2 linked regions of the Sus scrofa genome follow. The protein of the gene in region 1 interacts with the protein of each later gene in a biochemical or structural test. Links are inferred from orthologs where the notes say so. Each region holds a gene or a part of one and is shown on either strand. Other genes may lie near its edges.

Region 1 (3,650 bases):
TGTCTCAGAATGGTTGACTATACTGTCACTGCCACTCTCTGTTTTGTTTCTGAGAAAGCAGAAATTTACTACCCCTACCCTTAACTCTATGTCTTCTCAGTTCTGTTCTTATGTTTTGGTGTTGTTTGCTGATTTATTTATTAGCTCTAAGGATAAAAGGAAGAAAGCTTCTTGGAAAATATTCAATGTTTAACATTTATCTTGCAAATGACCTCTCATTTTATTTCATTGGTATTTCCCTTCCCCCAAACCAGACACATAATGAAACACTTCTATACACTTTAAAGTTTAAACAAGGTTCTGTTTAATGACCCTGGGCATGTCACAGAATTCTCTGAGTTTCTTTCCACTCTACAAAAAAATGAGATGGAGGGAAGAGACCAGTGAGCCAAACCCAGAACTACAAAATCAGACTACATAAGGCTGGAAGTTATAGGTCTGTCTTTTCCAAAGACCTGATTTATGCCCACATTTATAGGGGGAACCATAGTATAGGGGATCTCTATGGTTCCTTACAGCTCTCATGGTCAATGATTCTGTGACTCAAAATTCAAATTTTCCAAAAGGAAACCTCAGCACAAAACACTTAAGTTAAAACTAACAGAGTTCCTGCAGTGGCACAGTGGGTTAAGAATCTGACTGTAGTGGCTCAGGCCACTATGGAGATGTGGGTTCAATTCACTGGCCAGGCACAATGGATTAAAAGATCTGGCATTGCCTCAGCTGCGGTATAGGTTTCAGCTGTGGATCAGATTCAATTCCTGGCACAGAAAATTCCACATGCTGCAGGTACAGCCATAAAGTTAAACAAACAAACAACCCCCCAAAAACCAACAGCTCAATTTCAATGTATGAAATATATGGTCATTTACAAAAAAACAAATATAGTTGATTCACAATATTTTGTAACTGAATCACTTTGCTGTAACTGAATCACTTTGCTGTGATTCAGTTACAAAATTTTTTTTTCAGATTATACTCCATTATAGGCTATTACAAACTACTGAATATAATTCTCTGTGCAATACAGTAAATCCTCATTGTTTATCTATTTTATGCATAGTAGTTTGTATTTATTAAACCTATACTCCAAATATGTCCTTCCTCTCTCCCTCTCCCATTTTGGTAACTGTAAGTTTGCTTTCTATGTCTATGAATCTGTTTGTTTTGTATATAATTCATTTGTATTACTTTTTTATTTTAATTTTATTTTATTTTTTATTATTATTTTTTTTTTTGGTCTTTCCTAGGGCTGCACCCATGGCATATGGAGGTTCCCAGGCTAGGGGTCTAATCGGAACTGTAGCCGCTGGCCTACACCACAGCTCACAGCAACGCCAGATCCTTAACGCACTAAGCAAGGCCAGGGATGGAACCTGCAACCTCATGGTTCCTAGTCGGATTCCTTAACCACTGAGCCACGATGGGAACTCCGTGTATGACTTTTTTAAGAACAAGTGATTGAATAATATTCCATTGTATATACATACCAATATATGTCATTTTAAAAAACAAAGCAGAAATATTATAGGAACAAATTTATCACAATTCATTGGAAGAACCAATAATCTTATTTTTCAAGTTTATTTAAATATATAGCCTTTCTTATCCTCTTCTTTCAGCTGTCCCTCACCCTGGGCTCAAATACAAGAAATATTCCAAGGCTAAAAAGTATTGCTGATTATATACCTTGTAATTACTAGATTATTTAAATGAATTAGCTTTCCAATTTATGTAGTCATAATTTATACTGATCCTTCCAAAATTAGTGAGTTTCAAGGTCCTGTAGTATCAATAATGTAATAAGAACCATAAACCTCAATTTATACAATAATACCTCCTGTGAAATTTCAATGGAAAATGAGGAAATTTTTAATATATTCACCCACCTGCATCATTTAGCCACTTCTCCAGAAGTGGCTTTAACTTGCACATGTTCTTAAAGCTGAGGTTCAAGGCTTCAAAACGAGAGATGGTAGTTTGGCTGAAGTCATTTCCATACAGTTTACCCATAGCAAGCCCAACATCGCCCTGCAGAGTAATATAGAGCAGGAGAGGGAAGAGGAAGAGAGAAAGAAAAGACTCATCTCACTAAAGTTTACAGCCTTCACTCCAGGGTGCTACTCCAATAACTGTTCTAGACAAAGAATCAACACATTCCACTTAGTGAGTCCCACAAAATCCACCCCTAAACTAAGCACAATATTGTAGTGAAGACTGTTGGGCCTTGATCATGACAATATTCACAACCGTCCCATAATCTATCTTGAATCTCTTTCTTGCTACCTTTATAATAACTGAGATATCAAATGTTTCCACCAACTCTCAAAAAATAGTGCTGATATTCTACCAAATCCGTTAATTGATGCAACCAGAGTGAGTTATGTAATTTTTAAAAATCAGTTCATCTCTATCACCACAGGGTTAAAACATGTAACTGTCTAGATAAACTTAGGTGTTTCTGAACTAACCAAACTTCCCATAAATCACTTTAAATGCCTCATCCTTTTATTTTATTTTCTTGTAAAGTATTTCTGGAAGCAGTAAAAAAAAAAAAAAAAAAAAAAAAAAAAAATCTTTCCACCCTTAGTTTGGATTTCAAAGTTTGTTACAAAAACCAGGTATTCTAAAAAGACTACTTTTGTAACCATTATAGAGACAGAAATTCACAGTAGAGAGGTTTGACCCATTTAGTCAAACCTTTATGGGTACTGGAAACGTGGTAACCTTATAGCAATAGAACAATGATCCCCTGAATATATTACAAAAAAATATCTTTCTCTGTAAGCCTATAACCTTTGAAACGTATACAGTGCTTTTCCTCCATGTGAATCTCTCTTGCTAAAGCTGGAAAAGCCATATTTGAATCATTATTGTATGTATAGGTAATAGAAGCTCATGGAGTGAAAATAATTCATGGTCTTATTTCAATTAGTTTAGGGACGGCAGAAAGGCAACATTTCTGGTCCAAAATACTACATAGCTAATCTTACCAAGGACAGCCAACTCCCATATCCTGGCAACATCCATTTTGAATTAGGATTACCAGAGTCCTTTGATTTCTCTTGCTTAAATTCATCTTTTTTTTTTTTTAATTTACCTTCTTTTATTTTATTTTATTGGCTATGCCCATGGCATGTGGAAGCTCCTGATCCAGGGATTGAACCTGTGCCACAGCAGTGATCCAAGTCACTGCAATGACAATGCCAGATCCTCAACCCACTGCACCACAAGGGAACTCCTATAATCCATCTTTTGGATAGTACAGTACTTATTAGCACCTGATTACGTGGCAGTCAGGGAAATGAAAAAACATTTCTTTTTAAACTCTATTTTCTTACTGGTGAGTTACTTCTGACAAAAAGTTTAAGAAGGGAAATGTTGCAACTAGAAGATAAAATGAGGCACCAAGAGTACTTGAACCCCAGCTGAACTGATCTATATTCTAATCTTTCCCATAGGATAGCCACCAGCCACATATGGCTATTTAAATTTAAATTAATTCAAATCAGATAAATTAAATATTCAGTTCCTCAGAAGCCCTAGCTGCCTTTTAAGTTATTCAATAGTCACATGTAGATAGTAGTAGCTATTGTACTGGACAGCACAATTACATAACAGTTCCATTACCTCAGAAAGTTTTATTGACA
Region 2 (3,507 bases), on another chromosome or scaffold:
TCCCTGTGTATTATTATTCCAGTTAATTCTCACAAGAACCGTGTGAGATAGGAGCTATTATTTCCATTTTACGGATGAGGCAAGTGAGGCCTAGGGATATAAAATAGATCAACTGAGACTTTTTCACCAAACACTGACCACCCAGATTTAAATACAGGTATTGTTAGCTCTTAAGTCCATCGTCACTGATGCTTAAATGAAGTTGATGGTGCATAAGTGGTCCCAGGGCACGGGTACCAGGCTGGTTCTCTCTGTGACCCACTACCGCTTCAGCCTGAATCTCAAGTTGTAACTGTTCTATTCTTGCCTCTCCCACCAGATGGCAAGATGCGTGCAGGCAGGTGTGTCTTGCTCAGTGCTGGCTTCCCAGCGCCCTGCCATATTTGAGAGAATGAAGGAATACCAGGCAAGCGCCCTTCTTAGGACAGGAGAGGTTAATCTCCTCTTGGGATGTTAGGGGGAGATCAGGGTTGAATTAGCAGTGGGTCTCATTCCAGCAGAGTTTCAGAATCACCTGAGGGATTTTGATGTGGATCCATAAGCCCACATCAGACCCCAGGAATCAGACTTTCTGGGAGTGGGGCCTGGGCATCTGTATTTTGCATCACTCCCTCATTGCTCCTGCAGCTTGGTCAGACTAGGAACCTCTGTGAATGCATCTGAGTCTGGGGTTCTTGGCTTCTGTGTCATATGTTCCCGAGGCTCTTGGACACCCCCTCCCTCTTCCCCTGCTTTTCTGCCTGGGCTTCGAGGACAGGCCATGTGTGTGCCCAGAGCATGGATGGAGATCTGGTGCTAGTCAGGCCTGGGGTCTTATCAGCTGGGTATTTACTGAACAAAGTTCAGTTAGGGCAGCACTGTGGATCCGGGTTTAATAAATACCTAGGCTTCTGGGCTTTTGATGCAGAGCCCGAGCCCCTGGGCCTTATCAGTGGATGATAGTAGACTCCCAGTGTGAGTCGTAAGGCCCAGCGCTACTCACCTCTCGTGGCTGACCCAGGCCTGCCCTCCAAGGGCCTGAGGCTGCAGGCTGTGAGCCGTCTGGGAGGGCAGACTCTCATTGCCCAGCCATGGCTGCTTTTGGCTTGCTCTCCTGGCCAGGGAGAGCCCTGGGTTCCAGCTCATGGTGCTTTGGTTTCCTGGCATTGATGATAGAAAGCAAAGGAAACTTCTCTCAGCAGCAAGCCTGGACTTTGGCCCAGGGCACACGAATCACCAGTGGGTATTTGTCCTATGTCCTGGGAGCCACAGAGAACCTGGAAACCATTCACTGCAGCCCAGTCTAAAGGTCCGGGAGGGGTGAAGGGAAGATGAATGAATCATCATCCAACCAAATTAATCAATAAAGAACTTACTGAGTTCATAATGAACATGCCGCGTGGAAGGATACAGAGAAATAAGGTATAATCTTTCCCCCCGAGGAGTTTGTAATCTGGTTATAGGGGTATAAGAAATTTACGGCAAAAAGGATTATCAACTATTATACAGCAGACTTCAAATGTCTTGAAAGCTTCCTCTGTACCTGATTTTATACTAAGCATGTATCATGCTTCCCATGTGCTATGTCAGGGACTCCTTATGACACCCCTTTGATAGGAAACTGCAGGTTAAGGAGCACAGAGAGATTTAGTAACTCACCCAGAATCACACAGCCAGGATGTGGCAGGGGCGGGTTTTGAGGCCTGTGGCATCTGACTCAGAGTCCCTGCTCTTGTGCCGCCCTCTGCTGCCCCCTCTGATGAATGCTAATAAGCCTGGAAGTGTTGAAGAGGCAGCAGGCTGAAGCAAATTCTGTGGACTGCAGTGGTCAGCTGGGGGGTGCACTAGACTTGGGTCAGGAAGACTCAAGAGGGTGAGATAAGTGAGGGGGAATCCTGACAGTGGGAAATAACCAGTAAGGATAAGGAGGGGAAAGAGTCGAGGAAGATGGAGAGGCGTCTAGATAGACCTTCTGGTGGGAGTCAGGCCTTGCGTAAGGGTTAGTGTACAGAGGGGTTGGGTATGTGGGTTGAGATCATACTAGTGCACTTGGGCCTTAATCGTCTGGGTAGAAGGGAGCCCTAGAAGGTTGGAGGCAGGAGAAATGATAACCCTGGGAGGAATAGCCCGGGAAGTCTGGCGGGTTCCTGTGCCTTCAGGCCCAGCTTTGATGAGCCGGCAGACCCTGGAGGAGAGCGAGCACATTGGGGTGGGGGCTGGCTGGGAGGAGAGATGAGATCCAGTGCCCCTCTCTTCACAGCCGCAGCTCCAGAGCAGGCCCCGGCACCACCCCGGCCGTACCAGGGTGTGCGCGTGAAGGAGCCGGTCAAAGAGCTGCTGCGGAGGAAACGAGGCCATGCCAGCAGCGGGGCACCTGTGGCACCAACCGCGGTGAGGGACTGCAGTGGCCCGAGTGTGTGTGTGTGTGTGTGTGTGTGTGTGTGTGTGTGTGTCGGGGGCGGGGGTGGGAGGGTGATGAGAGGAGTTGGGCGGGAGTGTAGGTCCCTGCCCCATGGGATCCTCAACAAGGGCGCAGAGGCCACTCGTAGCTGCTGGAAGGGGGCCGTTACCAGGGCGGATGAGCAAGTGTCTCACAGGCCCTGTGGGGGTTGCCGGCTCCCCTGGAAGGTGATGGCACTGTTCCCCAAGTGCACAGCCTCCTTGCTAAATGGAGACCAGTCCCTTGAAAGTACAGGTGGTGATGGCTGGGACACTGGGCGGGTTAGTTCTAACAAGGGAGGTTCCCACCACCACCCCAGCGCCCCCTGCCCTGGGGAGGCCCCCTGGGCAGCTTCCCCCAGAGGGCCTGCCCGAAGTGCTGAACCCTGAGCTTGGTCCTCCCTTCTCCCCTCTAGGTGGTGCTGCCCCATCAGCCCCTGGCGACCTACACCACAGTGGGTAAGAGCTCCCCGCCGCCCTGGCCTTCTCCAAGCCCTCCGCCCCCACCCATGTGACACCTGCCACTCTGGAACTTCCTTCTTCCCACAGGTCCCTCCTGCCTCGACATGGAGGTCTCTGCTTCCACAGTGACGGAGGAGGGGGCGCTGTGCACCGGCTGGCTCTCCCAGCCCGCCCCGGCCGCTCTCCAGCCCCTAGCCCCGTGGACGCCCTACACTGAGTACGTGTCCCACGAGGCTGTCAGCTGCCCCTACTCAGCTGACATGTATGTGCAGCCCGTGTGTCCCAGCTACACGGTGGTGGGGCCCTCCTCTGTGCTGACCTACGCCTCCCAGCCGCTCATCACCAATGTCACGGTATGTCACACGAAGGCCTTTCTGCACCCACCCCTGTGAGGGAACCCTCTAAGCACAGGGCTGACTTCCTGCTCCCTGATGTTCCTTGCTGTGGATTCCCAGGAAAATCAGGTCCTCCAAGCCCACCCCATCCTCCAGGGAGGCCTGCTTTCATTTCTGATGACTTCAAATATCTTTCCCCCAAAGGCTCTGGTCTCTTTTGTCATGGCTTATGCTCCTGCCTCTCTGTCCTAAGTCTCCCCCACTGCCTCATATGCAGGAGTCTCAGTGAGGA

What was found.
Region 2: the proteins of POU2F1 (region 1) and POU2AF1 are reported together in a solved structure, tested with the Homo sapiens proteins (2 studies listed by BioGRID, with this or other methods). The link is inferred for Sus scrofa from reciprocal best matches to the Homo sapiens genes POU2F1 and POU2AF1.

What each region holds. Positions count from the first base shown.
Region 1 is NC_010446.5:83,622,863-83,626,512, forward strand, and holds part of POU2F1 (POU domain, class 2, transcription factor 1), read right to left. Parts: intron 2,032-3,650; coding exon 1,890-2,031; intron 1-1,889. UniProt on the Homo sapiens protein: Transcription factor that binds to the octamer motif (5'-ATTTGCAT-3') and activates the promoters of the genes for some small nuclear RNAs (snRNA) and of genes such as those for histone H2B and immunoglobulins.
Region 2 is NC_010451.4:39,124,233-39,127,739, reverse strand, and holds part of POU2AF1 (POU domain class 2-associating factor 1), read left to right. Parts: intron 1-2,239; coding exon 2,240-2,370; intron 2,371-2,834; coding exon 2,835-2,877; intron 2,878-2,967; coding exon 2,968-3,233; intron 3,234-3,507. UniProt on the Homo sapiens protein: Transcriptional coactivator that specifically associates with either POU2F1/OCT1 or POU2F2/OCT2. It boosts the POU2F1/OCT1 mediated promoter activity and to a lesser extent, that of POU2F2/OCT2. It recognizes the POU domains of POU2F1/OCT1 and POU2F2/OCT2.